Mytilus edulis: one gene and its partners. The protein of the gene in region 1 purifies or fractionates together with the protein of each later gene. This does not show direct contact. Links are inferred from orthologs where the notes say so. Each region holds a gene or a part of one and is shown in the gene's direction. Other genes may lie near its edges. The genes, in order: akirin-2-like, importin-9-like and proteasome subunit alpha type-5-like.

Region 1 (7,582 bases):
AAATAAGATTTCAGAAACACCGCCCGTGAAATGTAATATTATTCGAAAGCTTCTTCTACTCCGCTTTGAAAAAAGAAAGTTTGTTTTTCCTCTGTCTCTCTTTGCCAGAATTATTGGAAATTAAAAAAAATGAAATGAAATATGACACTGACTACCTTCTAAACTATTAGTTTTATTAGTATTCGTTTTGCTACTTGCTGAAGGCCCTACGATAAAATTCTACGTCATTTTGTCACTGGTGGATAGTTGTCTCATTTGCAATTATACCACATCTTCGTATTATTATTTTAGACATTAGAGTATTAACGGACGGACAGAAGCACGGCCGGACTAGTGTTTACCTGATGATACAACATGCCGCCAACTCAGTCGGGCACTTAAAAACATTTCCATCTAATTTGTAGATTCGTAATTTCTAATTTAATATTAAAAATCTAAAAAAGTTGAAATGATAGGTAGACAGGTAATTAATTAAACTATTAAAATGTTACAATACAATACAATAATAATTTATTAACGTCTCACCATCAATAATACAGTATACACATTTCACATTATAAAAGTAAACCTTTTTTAAAATTATTAATGCCATTCTAAAAGAATTATGAGAGACGGATTAAAAGGAACTAGTATTTACAAATTTTCAAAAAGCAATTATAAAACAAAAATAAAGTTAAATCATAAAACATATTTACATCAATTATCGGTATAAAAAACGTCGTCTACGGTCTAAAATAAGCTTGCAGGTTTTGGCACATTTTTGTATCACATTAATATTATCACTCGCTAAAATAAATGAAAGTTTCAAAGAATTCGGCAATAGACTAAAATTTTCGTTTTCAAAGTTTAAAAACTTATACAGTTCGTCTCTAAGATCGTCGTATAAAACGGACATTCAGTCAATACATGCTCCTCGTTTTCAATTTTATCGTCACAAACAAAACAAGTTCTTTGATCTATTAATTGGATGACTCTCGTAGCGTCCTGTCTCTAAACGTATTGGGGCAACACCACAGCGAAACTGAGAGTATGCTCTTCTGTGCGATGGTATTACAAGTTTATCTAGGTAAAGTTCTGTATATACATCCTGTTTAAATGTTCTATATGTACGTAGGTTGTTACCTCCTGGTCCATTTCGTCTGGTAGTGTCTTTATGCAAATCTTCATTCCATTTCTGTTTAAAGTCGGACATAAGTTTTACATGTAGAGCATTGTTAACTTGCTGCTTATCAATATCAGTGTCATTAAACAAGTTCGCTATACCACATGATTCGAATAGACTATAAATTCTAAAGTTTGAGTTTTTGCACACTCGATGACGTCTGAAATTCTGCTCTGCCCAATTGTCTATTTTCTTATTTATTCTATTCTCAGCCATATATCGTAACCGATTCCAATAGTTTATGATTACCCGCCACTGTTTCACAAACGGTGGTGTCCATCCCGAATCTCCATTTACTGCAACGTTTGGGGTATAACGACCAACTCCCATGAAAAAAACGGATTGCTTTGTTTTGAACTGCATTTATACACGAGAATGACTTATCTCCCCATACTGCCGCACCGTAACTAATAGTCCTCCAAACCATAGAGTCGTACAGCTTTGTAAAAGTTCCAAAAGGTAAACCTCCAAGTCCCTTGTATTTCGATATTACAAGTCCAAGTGCTCGACTAGCTGTTGCTGCAACGTATTTTGCCATGACGTTATAGTCCAAGTGTTCTGTAAAAACTAAGCCTAAATATGTGTAACGTTCTACTGTCTGTAAAATGTGGTTTCCGCAGTGAAAGATTGTTGGACTTCTCGGGAACGAATTTGGCCGAAAGTAGACTATATTTGACTTATTGTCGTTTATTGTCATCTTGTTATCGGTACACCATAAATCCAATGCATCGAGTAATGTTTGTAGCTCTGTTTCTGTGTTTGATAAAAACACTAAATCATCGGCATAAAGTAACATGGACACCTTTTCCCCATCGATGTCAATGCCAATATCTAGTGAATCAATATACGTAGCTAATCCGTTTATATACAAGTTGAAAAGTAATGGCGACAATAAACAGCCTTGTTTAAGACCACATTGAACGTTAAACCAATCTGTCTGATGTCCATTAATGCGAACACAGCATTCCACGGACTAATACAGAGACAAAATAGCGTTATAAATATTCCCACATATACCAAGGTCGAATAGTTTCTGGAATAACATCGCTCGATTTATCCCGTCATATGCCTTACGAAAATCAATAAAAGCCACGAAAGTCGATAAACGTTTCAATTTCCTAGTCTCGATTATTGATGTTAACGATTTAATGTGATCAATTGTACTGCGCCCTTTCCGGAATCCGTTTTGACTGTCATGAAGAATGTCATTTTCGTTCTCCCATTTTACTAGCCTGTTATTAAGTATATGACAGTATAGTTTATAGCACACTGGTACCAACGTTATACCTCGGTAGCTCATTGGGTCTTTCGGATTTGATGTTGACGATTTCGGAATTGGGTTTATAATTCCCTTTGTCCACGTTGTAGGGATAACTCCACTCGAAAAACACTTGTTAAAAAGTTTGTGTAAAAAGTTCAGTAAACTTGGGACTTTAAGGATTTCTGCCGGTATTTCGTCCACGCCAACGGCTTTGTTACGCTTTAGGCTACGCACAGCGTTCACTACTTCAAAACTTGTGATTTCATTATTCATTTCAATCTCGGTATCAAGTCTTTGGTCCATTACGTATTCTGAATTGACAGTTTCTGGGTTTAGTAAACTACAATACGCACGTTTCCATTCCGAAACCACTGCTTCACGACCATGGGCTATGGTTCCGTCCGGCAATTGAACCGACATAGGTATAAGTTTTCTTCGTTCTGTACCAACACCAATACGTCCGATTTTTTTTCTCCAAAATTCGCTATGATAAGTCGTTTCCATGTCGTCTATTTCAACCATTTGTTACATGAACAAAAAATGTATCTTGCCTTTTCTAAAATACGATTTCTGTTATTACTCTTTCGTGGATCTTGAATACAGAAACTACAAAGTACAAATAAGCCGGAAAAGACGTCTAGGTTAGAATAACAATTTTCGTTTGAACTGAAAGGAATAATTTTCCGTTGGAAACTATAAAGTATTTCTCAAAACAGAATTAATTTAAGTATAAGATACAGAACAAAGGTAACTAAAACAGCCTGGTAAAAACCGTTGCCATATAGTTTTTTTTTTTGCACGAATAGTCACGTCAAGTCCGAGACGATAATCGAGGACCTTGACGACTTCAAGTTCAGAAAAACTATATGGCTGGTTATTACTATCCTGTCACGGGCTTTTTGATTGTTACTTTTGTTTTGTATCTGACTTGTACGAAGTTTTTTTTTTAATTAGAAAGTAATTATACATTTTACATTTAAAATACAATTGCATAAATAATTGAACACAAAAAAAATGTGCATACTGGTTTATGTATTGTGATGTTTGGAAAAAATTAGGGATTTTGCTCTTCTCAGTTCTACTAGCTGATGCATCACTATGACATTCAATTAAAATGTGGTCACAATATTTGACATATGGAACGATTGTATATAAAACTTAAAATCCTTCTACCTGTTTCATCTGACCTAGATCTCATTTACGCTGTTTTATTAGTCAATATTCAGTTTTCATTGATTTCTCCATTTATTTCCTCCTCCTATCCATTTTTTGGGAAACAATTTCATTAAGATCAGTACGACTTTTAATACTTCGTTTGGAATTTTTTTTTTCGATTCATTCAGTGATAAAGACATTCCATTTTGAGGAGGAAATAAAACACAATAGGTTTTCGACAACAACAAAATAAAACAAACTAAACCCACATGATATCATATTAGTGAGACAAAGACATGTGGTGTTGTTGTTATTTTTAAATATTTTTTTGTAGTCAAACTGCTCTTTGATGATTTTTTTTTTTTTTTGCGGAACCCAATGTTATTAAACCAACTTAATGTTTTTACAACCCGATCCGATTTAAAATCTTATGGTAATTCAAGTATTCCTCCTGTTCCTGTATTGATTTGTTATATTTTTGAATATTGGAAAAACAAGGAATAATTCTATTAAAGAAAGGGACATTATTGCGATGGCTTCAGACGCGTCATATTATTAAAAAACGAATGATAATAAATACAATGAAACGTAATACCGAGAACAAATTCTCATTTCTATTTCTACCATCTATGCCAACTAATATGCAGTCGGTGAAAAGTTCAGCAACGCAAATATAATGTGCGTGTGTGTTTACAGGCACGATGACATGAAGAAAAGTTACCTACATTATTTGTAATTAACAACAATACCAAACTGCTATTTGGCATACCTTTATTATGAGATTTTCACGGTGATTAATATTTTTTTCACGAAAATAAATAATTTTTGCAATTTTGCAGGAAGGAAGAAGAATTTCAGCCCGTAACGAGAAACGATTTCTTATATCGGTATTATAGGACAAGTTCGGGGCATGTTCAAATAATTTTATGATTTTGTTGAAAACGAGGCTTGATTGTTTTGATTCTGGAAACGGCCATATTTACTAGATGGTAGTGAATCCGGTAAAAAAAATCAACAATCATCGGCTTCAAATTCAAGCCAAACAGCAATATTATCCTCTTATATTATCTTTAAACATTTATTTTTCGTCTGGGAATCGTTTTTGACCTTCTGTTTATAGAAGGTCAGTTGCATATACAATTTTTATTGGGCACCTATCGAAACTAAATTACAGTCATAAAAAATGGCTTGCGGAGCAACATTAACTTTGAAAAGGAATCTTGAATTCGATCCTATACACAGTCCTGGACAAACAACACCAAAGAGACGTAGATGTATGCCAATGACTATGTCGCCGTCCACCCCACCAACGAAGCAACATCAAGTAAATCCATCGCCGTTTGGAGAAGTTGGTCAGAAATTGACATCGGGTAAGATATTATCAAAGGCTGTAAAGTGTAATCAAAGGAGTCGCATTGAATTTTAATCGAAATTAAAAATGCCGAGAAGTAAACAATAAGAATTTTTCATGTATTATTATGGCATTTCTATATCCCTTGGGGCATTGATACCATGTAAACAGTCCAATCCAACATCACCTCGGCTTCACTTCAGACATACCACCAGAAATTATTCCTGACACTTCCTCTTCGGCACCAAGTCAAAAGGACACCTCTGATTGGAAAACAACCACTTTGTTTATTTTCCAGTTGAGCTCTTCAAATAATTATTGCTCATCTCATCAATTCAATAGAATGGCCTTCCATCAAGTTTCTTGACCTACTTGATGTTACATAATATTGCTAGGGGTTATGAACTAGGGCCTGTAATTAATAACATTCAGAATATAAATTTTATAAAATTTATAATATTTACAGATGTTTTGTCTGAAATTTGGAAGTTTAAACAACCACCATCTAAATGCATGTACATGTAGTAAATAAATGCAAGCTGTTTGCAAAAAAACTTATGACTACTTAGAATATTCATTTCATATCTTCAATCAAATATATGGAGGTCTGGATGAGGATTACAGAATAATGGGTAAAAATTAAGGAGTCTGAAATAATGGGGTGTACATACCTGCCAACTCACTATTTGCGGGGGATTTCCCCCATGGAGGCTCCCAAATTGAAATTTTGAAAGAGCAGTTTTGTCCACAATTTAAATAAAACAACTAATTTTACAATGACTTTAGGCTTATAAAGGTATGAAGAAGCCAAAAAACAACATTAAAATGTATTTGCAGGCCCCCTTGAAGGTTTTTTAGGACTATGACAGCCATCTTGCACGCAAAACCCCCATGGGCATTTTGAAAAGTTGGCAGGTATGGGTGTAGAGAATTTCAAGAAAAGAGAACAAAGGAATAAATAGAATAGAGAACATCTTGAAAATAATAAAAAAAAATTCAGAATTAATGGACCCCTTCCAGTCCCAAAATGACATGAGGAGCAAAATTGTCTAGGTCCTGAAATGTCCCAACAGGATTTTTCTTTGGAAGTGTTCAGGGTGCCATTAATACCTCTTTGTGCTGAAGTGTCTCTTTGCCACTAAATTAACTAATTCCATACTAGTCAAGGCTTGACAAATAAATTAGGGGCTTCAAAAATTAATTCTTTACATTGCTTAAGGTTCATCATACATGTCATAAGAAATTGAAAAATATGGCCATGTTTACACCTCCAAATTTACTACGAGTGCAGACAAATTGGTACATCTAGGAAAGTTTTAAGGCATGGCAGAACCTACATGTAGATACATAACAGTTATATGTTGTAAAGGTTTCAGAAAATTTTAAAACTTTAAATGTTTAAATGGATTTTTATGTTCAGTTTTTTCCAGTCTGCAGAAGATAGCAAATAAACAAACACCCAAGTTTCATTTGAAACGGTCCACTCAGTTACACAGTTTTAATCACCTATTGTCTGCAGATATCTTTTGTCCATTTAAATCTGTACTACATTTACTTACAACATGTATTATATGAGGGGAGATTCTCAAACATTTTCGAACTTATTTTATTTTGGCACCTTCTGCAGGAAAGAAAAAAAATTAATGAATAGCAAATCTAGTAAAGTTTTTCTAAAACCCAAAATGCATTTAAAATTTATATATCTAGTTCCTTCCATCCCTTAAAACTTTTGCAGGTGTATAGGTTTGTCTGTATTCAGAATAAAATTTGTGGTGTAAATACGGCCACCATTAGCCAAAAGGTTATGATGAACCTTAAGTACATTGTAAGCCAAAACATTGAACATATGTAATAAAACAATTCTTAAAAATCAGCTGAAAAGTTATCTAACCAGATAAAATTATTAAAAGAATATTGAAGCAGTCTGCACCATTAGCCACTAGTCCGATGCCCCAGACTAGTAAAAATTGATTCAGACTAGTGAAAATTTTCAAAATTTTATATAGGCATATAAGGACAAGTTTTGATATTTAGTGTCCGGACTAGTAGATGAAAAAGTTTTTGGTGCAGACTGTTGAAGGTATGATTGCTAGCAAAATTGACAAATATCTTCCATCCATGCATTTTAATGCCCCCACTGTAACAGAGGGGGCATTAAGGTTACCATTGTCCACCTCTACATATGTTGTACCTTTTTTTTTTTCCTGTCTTTAACTTGAGTTTTCCTCAGTCATATGAAATTACATGTAGTACACACTCACCCTGAAAAATTCATAGTAAGAACCCTGTTTCATATATATACTGAATGCCTTTTTCAGAACAAATTGCTGCCAGTATTGGAAATGAAATTAAACGTATGCACAGAAGAAAACAACTACAGTATTCTGGTATTCAGACACCACCAAACATGTCCCCACCACATGAATCTTCATCAAGCCTGTCCATTGATGGATCAGCATCACCATCATCTTCCGCTGGCAACATGTTCAGTGCATTATCTCCAAACAAAAGAGAAATGCCATTGTTTACCTTCAAGCAAGTCAGTATGATATGTGAGCGCATGCTGAAAGACAGAGAAGAACAGATTAAAAATGAATACAACTCAGTACTTACTTGTAAATTAGCAGGTAGGTAGTACAGACAATAGTTTTAC
Region 2 (7,563 bases), on another chromosome or scaffold:
GGTTTATCCGATGTTTTAAAGGGTTGTTATTGGGTCTAAATAAGCATTCAGTAGCTCCAAGTGTTCTCTTTTCTGCCCTTCGGTCTTTGGTGTTTTTGGTAGTTTATTTTGTGCTCTGTATCAATCTCATGAGTAAAGACCTTTTCAACTATTTTTTTTTATAATTTGTTCTAATGCTATACCATGCATACTGTTCCGCCACTGTTTAAGGTTAGGTAAAGAGTTTGGCCCCAGCAAATTTATTTAACAGCATCCGATTCAGTATGTTTCAAGCAAGGAGGCTGTGATGAAGTGATTGTCGTTTGTTGATGTGTATTATACGTATACTAGTGTGTTGTTGATTGTTTTGTACATAGATGAGGCCGTTACTTTTCTCTTTTGGACTGTTTTACATTTTGTCATTTCAGGGCTTTAATAACTCACTATATGGTATGAGCTGTGCTCATTGTTGAAGGTCGTACGATGATCTATTGTACTATTACGTAATTTATTCTCCGGTTAAGAGCTGTCCTATAATTATCATACCATATGATCTTCTTATAACTATCATACCACATCTTCTTATTCTTAAAGATATGTGTCGTCAACAAGTAAGTGACAACCACAAAGAAACGGTAATTTCTCTCCTCTCAACTTACGACGTCTATCAAACTCTAAGCTATGCGTATTTTTTTGCCCATAGGAAGCCAGATTATTTATATCTTTTCCCCTAATACAATGAGTATTTAATCAATGTTTGTGTTGATGTCCACATAAAATATTTTCATTATTTCAAAAGTTGAGCAAAAAAAAATAAAAAAAAATAAACGTCACACACTAATGTTTAATTTTTCGGCAATATTTATCCATTTATACAATTTTTTAGCGATAGATATCCTTTCATCTGATTTACTACCTGGTCTACCTTACTCTTACATTGCCATATAACATACTTGACACAATAGCATTTTACAAATTTGTTCCGTCCGAAACGCTTTTTTTGGTCTACTTTGATTAGGAACGTTCTTACAAAAGACCAGGTAAAGGCCAATGATTATAAGTACTGTACTTGAGATGACCTTACGGAAAAACAAGTAAACAGTTATAGAACTAAAAGAAGTCAAAACGGAAATAAACTTAAGAAGAACACATGTGAATATGAAATGATGTTTCGTTAAATTTTCCGCACAAGAAAACATTGTGTTAAATACCAATAAAAATAATTGATTTTAAGAAATATAATGTATTATTGTGAGAACGCAAAGACTAGTTACGTTCCTGTCGCTAGCTGTGTGAATAAAATACTCGGTTTTGGTTTTATCCGAAATGATTCTCAGCGGTGACAATCTTCCCGTAACTGTCGGGTTATACATCTCACTTTATCCTTTAAATATAGAGCTGGTTATAAATTTGAAATTGAAATATATTTCAATGTGTTGTGATACACAGAAAATACGCATTTATTTTTTTATTCGAAAATGATAAAACAAAAATACGAAAACAATTCTCCGCCAAACATGGGTTACACTAATGACTGGACCGAATGACAGGACCGAATGACAGGACCAAATGAAAAATGCTAATAACTTTTTCATTTCTCAAAGGATTGAACTCAAATTTAAAATATAATAAGATTTCATCATTTAATAAATAGATTAAGAAAAAAATAAATTTAAAAATTGTAAGAAACTTAAGAAAACGTGACATGACCAACTCTGATAATGACAGGACCAACATCGAGAATGACAGGACCAAATAAAAATGCTAATAACTTTTTTATTTTTCAAAGGAATTATCTCAGATTTAAAATATAAAATGGTATGTCATATTTTGAAACTAAAATGTTATAAAAAATATAAATTTATTTTCAAAAACTTTCGAAAACGTGACATGACCATCGCTGACTGACATGACCAATATCGACAATGACCGGACCAGATGAAATTGCTAATTTCTCTTTTATTTCTCAAAATATTTTTCTGAAATTTGAAATATAATAAGATTTCATCATTTTATACATAGATTTAAGAAAAAAAAATTAAAAAAATTGTAAGAAACTTTAGAAAACGTGACATGACCAACTCTGATAATGACATGACCAACATCGACAATGACAGGACAAAATAAAAATGCTAATAACTTTTTTATTTTTCAAAAGAATTATCTCAGATTTGAAACATAAAATGATATGTCATATTTTAAAAAATAAATGTTATAAAAAATATAGAAAGTTTAAACGTGACATGACCATCGCAGACTGACAGGACCAACCTCGACAAAGACAGGACCAGATGAAATTGCTAACTACTTTTTACTTCTAAAAAATTTTTTTCTGAAATTTGAGATATAATCAGATTTAACCATTTTATACATAAAGATAGGAATAACATAGAAAAAAATATTAAAAGATTGCTGTAATGTGACCTGACCAACGCTGACAATGACAGGACAAACCTTTTTTAATTTTGAAAAGAAAATTATGTCAGATTTAAAATATATCAATTAAAGAGATTTTTTTTTATGTTCCTACTATAGAAATTCTGGTTGAAATTAATAATAATAATTAAAAAACACACATTAAGATTGAATGATTTAAAAGTTTTTAGAAAATAAGGGAAAAATTAAAAGCTAACTGAGGGAAAACGTTAGGTCTGCGAACGCCCACCGCGTTATTTGATTTTTTTATTGGAATATTGTATTAAACCGAGTTGTAGAAATATTGCACTTCTCATTCATTCATTCATTCAAAATATTTTGTATATTAATTACCGGTCATAATCTGACACGTCTGAAAATAATTATAAGGTAACAAACAAAAGGTGTGACATAAGCCATAAATAAGTTGATAAATCCAATAAAGATTGCGATGACAGTAACTAAAATCACATAATAGTTCATGTCGTTGTTTTATTAATATTTTCAGAACAGTAAATAATTATTTCCATGTATGTTTGAGTATATGAAGGGTCTATCTTGATAGTAATAATAAACAAATAAACATTTCTTGAAGTGTGCCCGGCCCTTGCATGCATGATTTCTTGGTAGTTTTAAATATTTTCATAAAATACACTAAATCTAACATTTTCACGGACTACTTTAAAAGGTTTGATACCTTTCCACGTGGCTTAAATTGGGCTTCATTATGTCAAGAAATATTATGATGATAATTCAATAAATCTGAATTTATCTATAGTTTAATGAACTGATATATTATATAAAATGATTATATGTAATAACATATAAACATTTCAAGATCTCTTTCTTAAATATAGTGATAATTCGTGTCTTTTTGACCTGTGACTCTCTGCCAACATACGTTAAGTAGCTAGGTCAAGATTTTTAACCACCATAGAATATATTTTCCTGTATTTATAAGATATAATCTTACTAATTATGGATCAGAACTGAACAATTTCATTAAAATAAGAAAGAAATTTAGATTTTTTCATTGGCCAGATCATTAGTAGCCGATGTTGGTCAGGTCACACCACCGCAAGCTTTCAATACATTTTTTTTATATATATTTTTCTAATATGATGTGCAAAATGGTCTAAATTGTCATTATTTTAAATTTGAGAGGAATATTCTGACAAATGTTATGCATAATTAGCATTTTTATTTGGTCCTGTCATTAATTGTCGAGGATTGTCCTGTTATTGACAACGTTAACCAGGTCACATTTCAGCAAGCTTTTTATACCTTTTTCTTATATTATGTATGAAATGGTAATTTAAAATTTAAGAGAAATATTCTGCGAAAAAAAAGAACAATTAGCAATTTCATTTGGTCCGGTCATTGTGGAGGTTGGTCATGTCAGTCAGCGATGGTCATGTCACGTTTTTGAAAGTTTTTGAAAATATTTTTTTTTTATATAACATAAATGTTTCAAAATGTGACATATCATTTTATGTTTCAAATCTGAGATAATTCTTTTGAAAAATAAAAAAAGTTATTAGCATTTTTATTTTGTCCTGTCATTGTCGATGTTGGTCATGTCATTATCAGAGTTGGTCATGTCACGTTTTCTAAAGTTTCTTACAATTTTTTTTAATTTTTTTTCTTAAATCTATGTATAAAATGATGAAATCTTATTATATTTCAAATTTCAGAAAAATATTTTGAGAAATAAAAGAGAAATTAGCAATTTCATCTGGTCTGTTCATTGTCGATATTGGTCATGTCAGTCAGCGATGGTCATGTCACGTTTTCGAAAGTTTTTGAAAATAAATTTATATTTTTTATAACATTTTAGTTTCAAAATATGACATACCATTTTATATTTTAAATCTGAGATAATTCCTTTGAAAAATAAAAAAGTTATTAGCATTTTTATTTGGTCCTGTCATTCTCGATGTTGGTCCTGTCATTATCAGAGTTGGTCATGTCACGTTTTCTTAAGTTTCTTACAATTTTTTAAATTTTTTTTCTTAAATCTATTTATTAAATGATGAAATCTTGTTATATTTCAAATTTGAGTTCAATCCTTTGAGAAATGAAAAAGTTATTAGCATTTTTCATTTGGTCCTGTCATTCGGTCCTGTCATTCGGTCCAGTCATTAGTGTAACCCGCCAAACATAACTTTACTTAAATTTAGCAAAATGGCGGGAGCAGACCGAAATCTGTCATTGAAAGAAGCATTAGTTGAAAGTTTGGGTTCTGTGTTGTCTCCCGACCATGATCTTAGAGTTTCTGGGGAAGAACAAGTTAAAGCCCTTGAAGTTACCGAAGGTTCATTCAATTTTTCAATAAAATTAGTTTAGGGTAGAATAAAACGCTGATACTAAAGGCAACAGGTTTGATATCACATTGATGTGTTGTATGATTAGGTTTCATTCTGAGGAGCGTAACTATGATCTACTTTGGGTTATGGTGTAAAGGAGCCAATAATGTGTACAAATGCAGTGCATTATATAAGCATACAAACACTCTTGAAAACTGTCTAAATATGAAATAAAGGGTGGCAGGTAGGTGAAACTTACAGCTTTCGGGTCGATCCGGCCCATATGTAAAGTCGATCCGGACCCAATAAAAATATATTTATAAGTAATAAAAATAAGGATATATGTTAATTGTAATTCATAAATGTTTATGGTTTTTATTATAATGTAAAAAGTGTACGGTAAAAAAAAAATATTCAGATGAGTATAAAACAACTATATTTTTATTACAAGTTTTCAAGATAATTGAGTACCGAAGAACAAGCTTTAAAGGGCTCCAAAATTACTAGTGTAAAACCATTCAAACGGGAAAACCAACGGTTTAATTGACTATATTTGATATCACAAAATACAATTCATTATTATTATATTCACTAACCAGAAGATCAGACTATAACGACCTTGTTGCTTACGTAACTTTAATTAATCAAGATTTTTAAGTGATTACGAGTGGCATTACCTTAGTTCACAATCATCAGACAATTATTGAATAAACAAAACAATTATAGACTAATACAGTCTTCACGATGATCTGTTAAATCTACAGGCCCAGATCTCAATCTTTTGAAAAATTTTAGTTAGATTCGGTTGGCCTGTAGATATGATTTTCACAGGCCCCAGAGCAATTTTACTAGCCTGGGCTGTCTGGGCTGCCACTCGGCGTGAAGACTGCTAATAATTAAACAAATCATTATGATGAGTTAAATTTTATAGGTTCCAGTGGACTGTAAATATTTATTAAGCTATTCTGTGTGTGAACTAAATAAAATAAAATCGCCATAACATTCAAAGTTAAAGTTATCGTGGAAAATAACTTCATATTTTAAAATATGTTGAAGCTGCCATACAAACAGACCAATAACACTCATTTGTGTATCGATTTAAAATAGTTCTTTAACTGGTACTTCCAATACTTCACTTACCTGTTGTCATCCATCATCGGACACTTTTTTGCAAATTCCATTTATACTGTTAAAATCTGTCACAAATTCCTCCAAAATTAATATAGTTTATTTCATATTTTATTATGGGGCCGGATTGACTTGTGGCCGGATCGACTTGGGCCGGATCGACTTTGGACCGGATCGGTTTGGGGCCGGAATGACTGGATACCAAACTTACATAAATGAAGAGATAAATGAAAAATGAACAAAATAACATGATTTATATAATTCCAAGTCCGTCCATTGGCACCAGAAGCGACGAAACAGCACTTCTATTTTGGATGGGCAAATATCCACTTTTTGATATGGGACGAGCTCTGACGTCCAACGGCCCCAGCATGTCTAGCAAAACAGCCATTGGACGTCAGAGTAATCATGGACTAACTGCTAGGGACAACCAATTGATAAGAATTCAAATTTTTATACAAGCTGCTTTTTATAATTAAGTCAAAATGGTCGATATCCGATGTAGATTATCCTAGATTTTCCTGTAGCATTTTTGGTCTAGTCTTATGATTTGTAAGTCCTTCTCAGACCTTTATAAATCAAATTTTTACTCCCTAATGTATGCTTCAACTTCATAAATTATACATATTTAAGTTGAAATAAATGGCAAAGGTTACATGTGAAGACCAGACAGGACTACATGTACATTAGCTGCGGAACCGTAGCTCTTAGGTCCTTATGTTATTTTTTGACTATTTGCGGACCATAGAGCTACGGATTTTTCCTATTTCAAAACGTTCGGAATTGCGACCCAGGTTCAGGTCGCACTTATTTCCCAAAAAATTATTGTTTATAATCAATGCAAAGCTTGTCAATATATATAGTTCGTTTCGTCAAATATTTTTCTAGGATATGACGTAACTATTTATGTTTGAATATTCATTTCCTTAACACTATTATCTAATTATTTCCATTTGTATACATTCTCCGCCTATTTTGTTCGGCCATATTGAATCTCGTGGTGACGTCACGAAAATCAAGAAAAGATAACTCTAATAGGAAAGCACGTGTTAGTTTATTTACGTTGTCTTTTATTTTATTTTCATGACCTTTTGAATGAAAGTACGTTTAATTAAAGTTAGATACTAACGGAAATAATAATTCTTTCAAGCAATTTAAATATTTAGTATGTATAAATGTTGTAAAGTCTTATAAACACTCGATTCTCGCCAAGAAATAAGTAAACAAACCAACACGTGTTTTTCTGTAAGAGTTGTCTGTTCTTGTTTTTCGTAGGCGTTCCTCACCTCCAACATAGGAGATCGAGGATATTTGAGTTATCTTTTCTTGATTTTCGTGACGTCACCACGAGATTCAATATGGCCGAACAAAATAGGCGGAGAATGTATACAAATGGAAATAATTAGATAATTGTGTTAAGGAAATGAATATTCAAACATAAATAGGTACGTCATATCCTAGAAAAATATTTGACAAAACGAACTATATATATTGACAAGCTTTGCATTGATTATAAACAATAATTTTTTGGGAAATAAGTGTGACCTGAACCTGGGTCGCAATTCCGAACGTTTTGAAATAGGAAAAATCCGTAGCTCTATGGTCCGCAAAATCAAAAAAAAATAAAAAAGGACCATAAGAGTTACGGTTCCGCAGCTACATGTACATCAGACCATCAACCTATTGTACTAATGCACTTTAAGAATTTTGGGGTGTCTGAATAAATTATTTAAAC
Region 3 (7,229 bases), on another chromosome or scaffold:
TCCTAATTGAAGGACCGTTTACACTCAGGGCCGAGTCATCAGCAGGCAATACAGATGTATTAAAACAACCTAGCATCATATTGCTAGTAGTGGGAGTAGCATTGTCCGGTAAATTTGTTCCCACTTTTTTTTATAAAATGTATGGTTCAAATCAAAATAGAATGCTTTTATCTCCTGAATACTTACATTGTACATAGAGATGATACTACTTTGACAAATCCTTGTCCATTAGAGTTGTCTGTCAAATCTTAATTTCACAAAGAATGAATTGCATAACAATGAACTGAGCTCAAAGCAAGGTACTTTAATAATACACTTAGACAAAGAGCTAAATCCAGTGATATACTTTGTACTACAGGTCCTTCATGACCATCCATCCACCCAAACCATATCTCAATAACATTCCATACTACATGATTGGATTCAGAAGTCCTGAAAAAGACATGACTTTTTTTATCTTGTTTTAAGTATATATGCACAGGTTAAACCTTTATTGTGGATATAATCATTCAGTATCTAGCAACTATCAATTTGCTTCATGCACATATTGATATAGGTTGATTGCTCCTCTGTTGGAAATTAGAACACACCTCCATCTAATTTTAGTCAACTGACGAAGAAAAATTCAAAACTATATAAAATGTTATCTAAGACTTGTCAGTGTCTATTTCCTTTGCCACTGAATAAGATTCCATATTTACAACCAATGAAAATCAAATATCCCTCTAATAGACTTAGCATTGAAATCGTTTTCTAAAATGGTAGTTATGTGGAACCTAGAACTAAAAAATTGAAACAATATATCTTAAATATTTCAAATGCATGTACATTTAATAATTCTCCAAAATTCACTTTATTTTTCCTTTTTTGGTTTTCTGTTGGAGACTGTATATTGACCTCTATGTAGCCTTTTCAACTTATAAAAGGGGGGATACATTTCCATAGAATTAAACTTTTCTGAAAGAATTGATTCCATTTATTTTCAATTAACAATAAATATTGAAGTCTATAACAGGCATCTAGGAACAGGCTCAACATTATTTCTAAACATGTATTAATATATACCAAAATGTGGACAAACCTACATTAAATATTCTACTTCAACGACTTTAATTAGTGGAGTAGATCAAATTAAAAAGTCACAATGGTTAAAAACTCCAATGGCAGTCTTTCCTGCTAAAATCTTGATGTGTAGAATGTGATATACCATTTTTGGGTCTATATACTGTCCTTTAAATTTAGGTCATTTTGACACGGCAAAATATGAAAAAAATGTAAACTATGGTCTGGAAAGCACACAGTTTGTGATATTTTAAGGTATCTTTACTAAGAAAACCTGCAAATCTCAGTGGCAGATCCAGAACTTTTCAAAAAGGTGTGGGGGCTCTGATGGACCAGAGGGTTGCCCACTCCCATCAAGCTTCAATGATTTCTTACATATATGTCATAAGCTAAATTTCCCCCACCCCCTTGGTCTGTCTATGCATCTGTTTATCGTTCTGCGAAATAGTACTAATACTAATTTTTCCCCTCCCTTACCTGGCCCTAGACAGTTGCTTACCTTTGTAAACATTTTATAATTATAGTCAGGTATATATTGATTGAGAGTAACTTACATAGTAGTTAATGGGACTCTTTTTCACACGGTTCTGTGAAATATAATACGGCAAATATATACCCGTACATACTATCCGCATAACACAGAAATCTGATAGATTTTCACTCCTCTGGGAAAAATCAACCTGTGAAATGAAATAACATGCCTGGAAAAAAATTACCGGGACAAATTATCCTCAGGATAAAATATCACAGAGGACGAAATAAACCGTTACATTACATGAGAAGCCGGTTTGGTTACAAATAATTATGTCACGTGAAGGCGCACTGACGTCACAATTTGCATTAATTTTGCAATACACTACAGTTCACTCATACAGAACCCATTATCATGCAAACATGCTACGTGAATGTGATTGGTTATCAAATAATACAGAATTTATGCACGTACAGTTAATATAGAAGAAATTAGTTCATCAAATGTGAGTTCGTGATCTTGTGGTTAAGACCGATGGCTACAGTGCTGAAAGTCCTGAGTTAGATTCTCACTTGGGGTGCTAAAAATATCAGTACATCAGAAGGGTAATTTTCACCCTCTCACACACATCTTTGTTAATGTTCCGGGATTGTTGAAAACTTGCATATTCATCAATATTTGATTTTGTGGTTTTAACAATCCAGACAGACAAATAGCAATAAGGTGTTTAGGAAAACATGACCTAAAACCTCCTTCATATATGACAAAAATACATGGGAACTCATATTGAATGGTCAAATGTGTTCAATATGAAAATTGAAATTAAGATGGTAAAATCAAATATTAGCCGTTACTGTTAATGGACTTAAAGTATGACTTTTCAGCAAATTTAAAGGGAAATGACACGGAAGGGGCCAAGTAGTGTTCAAGGGGAGCAAATGCTATTTAAATTAGTATGCAGGTTTTAAATATAGAGGGAAGTTGAGTCATCTTTTTGGGTGAAGTTAAATACTGACTAGTGTGTGGTTCTCATTGGGTCTAAGCGTGACCAATATTGACAATTTTTCGCAAGCGTGAAACGTGAAAGTCAAATTATTGTGTCATGAAAACGGGAAATGAGGTCTGTCGTGAAAACGGGAAATGGGGTTCTGCAGGACCCCGGAAATGACAAAAAAATGAAAATTGCTCATGTACATAGTGTAAGTGGGATATGGGAATCTGACAAAACAGTAAGTGGGATCTGGGATCAGAACACCACCCCCCCCCCCCCCCCCCCCCCCCAATGAGACCCCCTTATGTAGATTTACCTTCTAATTCTATATAAAAAAAAACACAACTAAGAACTACGTTTAATTCACTTTGACTACTGATATGCAAACCTAGAAATATTTCATAAAATAGTGATTGAAAGATTCATAACACTTTGAAAGGATAATTCAGACACGTGTTACGCGGGGAGCATGTTTTAAATTTGTTTACAAATAATAATGTCACGTGATCGCGCACTGACCTCAAGTTGCATCGCCCTTACAATTCACTAATACATGACCATTTTCATGCAAACATGCAACGTGAATGTGATTGGTTATCATATAATACAGAAATAATGCATGCACAGTTTAAGAAGAAATTAGTTCAATAAATCGATGCGATTTTCACTTTTGACACGAATAGGTCGGGTTGACATTACCAGAGACATATAATACAATTGTATTATATGTCTCTGACATTACTGTCATCGGAGATAATATTGAGATAAATGGGATAAAACGGACCGTCAAAAAGGTCTAGAGGAGCACATCAGTAGAACCTTAACATTAATAAGTAATACTTACCAAAATTTCTCTAATTAAAGAACTATATAACTGAAATTTCACAAAGATAACGGTAAACATTTTGTTGATGGTGATGATGCTAATATCGATCCGTTGAATTCAGGGTCAACGGAATTTTTTGCGTTGCGTTTAAATCATTGAGGCCATCTATTTTTATTGCGGGTTCCACATATATAAATCGGAATTAAAGAAAAAATGGAATGTTGTTAGCAGAATCAAAACAGAAATGATGAACATTGCAACATTTTCAGCAAAATATAAATAGGATGGAGGATCTGTGTATTCACATTATTTGTAAAACTCTCCTTATTCATGTGAAGCGTGTGCTTTACATCGAGGCTTGCTATGCTTATCATTGACGCCACAGTACTTCAACCAATCAGACAATGTTTATTTTGGGCATTTGACTTTTTTTAACTCAGATTTTGGAATATTTTAATCGAAATAATAGAAAAATGGAATGTTGTTAGTACATATAAAATAGAAAATGATGAATACTTTTAGCTAAAGATAATTTGGATGGGGGTTCTGTGTATTCACATTATTTGCACAACTCTCCTTACTGATGCCATATTTTGGAATTTCCGTGACCTAAATGGTTCGCGAAAATTAATATTTTTATATATAGTATAGTAATGATCGTTATTGAGTTTGTGCCATGATAAAAAAAGATATATTTGCATTTGTATTTGTATATTAGCGTTTTAATGGATTAAATGTCCAAATCTGGCATTGAAATGACATCATTTTTATTTCTTTTTAAATTAAAATCGTCAGCAAAAACATTTCCGCCGCTTATTGACGAAAAACACGTGGCTGTTTTAATTTTTTAACAAATCCGGAGAAATTCAGGTTTGGTACGTCGTCCGATTTCGTTAGTTAGTCAATCCTTAGTTGCAAACTGCCGGTGAGTTCATTTTTCACAATTTTAAACACATCTTTTAACACTAAACAAAAGAGACTCAGAGAAGCAACACGAAACAATCTTTTTTCTTTATAAATGTTTATTGAAATTATACGTTGATGATATTTCGTACCTTTTCAATATATCAATAAATAAATGAAAACTTTCAAGTTTTGCAAAACTGCAATATCATGATCCATCATCTTACTCAAAATATAGTATTTACAAGATTATAGCCACCCACCTAGTACCTTGCTAAGTCAGATTTATATATAAGGAAGCAGTTACCATCCCTCCTGTTTGGGGCTTCATATATATATGGTTTAAACATAGATTTTTTTAAGTCGCACTGACACTCCATCAAAAACAAAGGCATCATCAGATTCAGTATCGGGTCTGTTCGCCCTAATAACATGTTCGCCCTGGGTCCGTTTGCCCTAAGTTCTTTCGCCCGTAGAGTCCGTTCGCCCAAGGTGGTTATATTAGAAGGAGAGAGGACGAAAGACGATAATTACACATAAAATATTACCGACTTTTCTGTATGTGGGTGTTCACAAACTGTATAGTTTATATGGCAATAAAACTTTGAATTGAATTGAATTGTTAATTAGTTGAGATCGACTCTGTCACAGAGGGAGATTTTGTCCTAATTACATACCCGAGTAAGAACGGAAACACCCGAGGTGTCATAAACTGACTGGATATACAATTATTGAAATGTTAATCAGATTTTTTTAGATATTTTTTATTAAGTAATTAAAAATTAAAATTTTATGTTAAAAGTAAACTTATTACCAATAGAAATAAAACGAATATCTGTCTCATTGCCGTCAATGTTAATATCAACAGTCATAACAGAAAGTCACTTTTACGTTGTTCCCGATAAATTTCTCTATGTTTCAATTGCAAATATTCTTTCCAGTCGTTACCCATCACCGTAACTAAAGTACATTGCATATTCGTATATTTTCTATGATTATTACCTGCCAATTCTAATAAACAGAAATTGACAGGTGAAGCGAAAATCTTTGTTTAAAGCAATGTAGTGTTGAATATAAATCGCTCACTAACTTTCCTTTAAACCCTCATAACTTTGTCATTTCTTTATCTTTTTTCACCATAGACAGACGGTTGATTTTGAAATTGCGCGTCAAATCTTTTTCCAAATCATGAACACCTATGCACTGCACTGTTACTAAAAATACACCTGAACTTTAATGACCCAGTCACTGATAACAATCATGTGACATATGCGATTTATCTAATAGCCCGAACTGCTCGCGGTAACAGCCTGGTACATCAGAGGGTCATGTCAAGTGGGTGATAAACATGTCGGTTTCTTTATAATTTGATAAACAAATATCAATAAAGATAAATACATTGTATTCCAGTATTCTCTGAAAATCAAAGGGAAAATGATAAATTGATTGCGGCAATATAAATATTCTGTCAATTTTTCAACAAACTTTAAAACATTTTGTTCAAATACTTAAAATTATGCGACTAGACAACAATAAGAAAAAAATAAAAATCAGGGCAAATGAACCCAAGGCGAACAGGTACTAGGGCGAACCTGAATCAGGGCGAACGGACCCAGATTCATCAGATTCACAATAGACAGAAATGCTGCAAAGCCCTTTTTCAAGATCCTGAGAAGTGTATTGCTTATTTAATCTACAACACCATGAACAGTACTATGATAATAAAAATAAAAGAAAGTCGTTGTCATTAATCATGTTAATTGGTTCATTGAAAAAATTATTGACTCACTGAAATCTCTGTAATGTACATGAAATTGATGAATCCTCATCTTATAGTGCCAAAAAAACATCCTAGAGTAGAAATAATACAACTACATCAACCATCGTCATGTTTAATACACAATTGCCTGCATTGTTTTTACACATTCTTATTACAATTTACAATGCAGATTTGCATATTTAACCATAAAAGGAAACATGTGTTACCTGTATGCACTTTCCTTTTCAAATAAAACAATATCTATGCAGAAGTCAAGTTACTCCATTGTAACCATAACACTGATATCAATAGTATTATCAGAATATGAAAGACTCATTAGCTACTAAATTCAGAAGTGAAACTATTATTATATTGTAAAGGAGTAAGTTCGGTAAGTGCCATATTTGGCCCCAATTATAAAGTTCATGGTTACAAGACAATAATTGTTTTAAGTTGCCTTAAAGACATGTAACAAAAGTTAAACAGAGCTGTTTTTGTCAAAGTTTAATTCTAATACAACGATTTTTACATTCCAAAATGGTCAAGATAAGGGATTTTGGTGAAATTTGACAAAATCAGCGGGATTTCAACCAAATAAAGGACCAGGAAACATAGAGCGCAGGCGTCGACAAGCTTAATATTCAAATAAGACATGTTAAATGTCTTCACAAACATTATGTTAAAAGATCTTTGTTGTCGACGTATGCGCTCTATGTTTCCTGTCAAATAATCTTTGGAAATTTACCCATTTTCATTGATTTTTTCGTGAAAAATCAATATGAGTACAACTTGTGACGTCATAATGAAACGCAGAAATGTTAAATTTTAAACAAAATGGCTTATATCCTATCTAGTCAATGTATTAGCTATAATTTATCGTGATATTGGTCAATAAATCCGAATTTGAAATTTACGCTAAAAAAGTGGGCCATTTTAGGACCTTATCGAACATACTCCTTTGTTACAATGATTTACTAAATCTGAATTTTCAAAATACATCCAACACAAGTTACTTACATTACTGACTGAAATTGGAAGTTTTTATTTGTATAAAATAATTCATTGTTTGTAATTTCAGAGATAACAAAAGATGTTTTTGACAAGATCTGAGTATGACAGAGGTGTGAACACATTTTCACCAGAAGGCAGATTATTCCAAGTAGAATATGCCATTGAAGCAATTAAAGTAAGTTTATTTTTGTAAAAATAATATATC

Evidence for each region.
Region 2: the proteins of akirin-2-like (region 1) and importin-9-like purify together in Homo sapiens (affinity purification with mass spectrometry; 3 studies listed by BioGRID and IntAct, counting the BioPlex papers as one, with this or other methods). This does not show direct contact. The link is inferred for Mytilus edulis from reciprocal best matches to the Homo sapiens genes AKIRIN2 and IPO9.
Region 3: the proteins of akirin-2-like (region 1) and proteasome subunit alpha type-5-like purify together in Homo sapiens (affinity purification with mass spectrometry; 3 studies listed by BioGRID and IntAct, with this or other methods). This does not show direct contact. The link is inferred for Mytilus edulis from reciprocal best matches to the Homo sapiens genes AKIRIN2 and PSMA5.

What each region holds. Positions count from the first base shown.
Region 1 is NC_092353.1:61,385,737-61,393,318, forward strand, and holds the start of akirin-2-like, read left to right. Parts: upstream 1-4,504; 5' UTR 4,505-4,761; coding exon 4,762-4,948; intron 4,949-7,247; coding exon 7,248-7,556; intron 7,557-7,582. UniProt on the Homo sapiens protein: Molecular adapter that acts as a bridge between a variety of multiprotein complexes, and which is involved in embryonic development, immunity, myogenesis and brain development.
Region 2 is NC_092344.1:77,450,048-77,457,610, reverse strand, and holds the start of importin-9-like, read left to right. Parts: upstream 1-4,551; 5' UTR 4,552-4,578; coding exon 4,579-4,708; intron 4,709-7,563. UniProt on the Homo sapiens protein: Nuclear transport receptor that mediates nuclear import of proteins, such as histones, proteasome and actin. Serves as receptor for nuclear localization signals (NLS) in cargo substrates.
Region 3 is NC_092344.1:63,108,005-63,115,233, forward strand, and holds the start of proteasome subunit alpha type-5-like, read left to right. Parts: upstream 1-4,161; 5' UTR 4,162-4,276; intron 4,277-7,091; 5' UTR 7,092-7,103; coding exon 7,104-7,199; intron 7,200-7,229. UniProt on the Homo sapiens protein: Component of the 20S core proteasome complex involved in the proteolytic degradation of most intracellular proteins. This complex plays numerous essential roles within the cell by associating with different regulatory particles.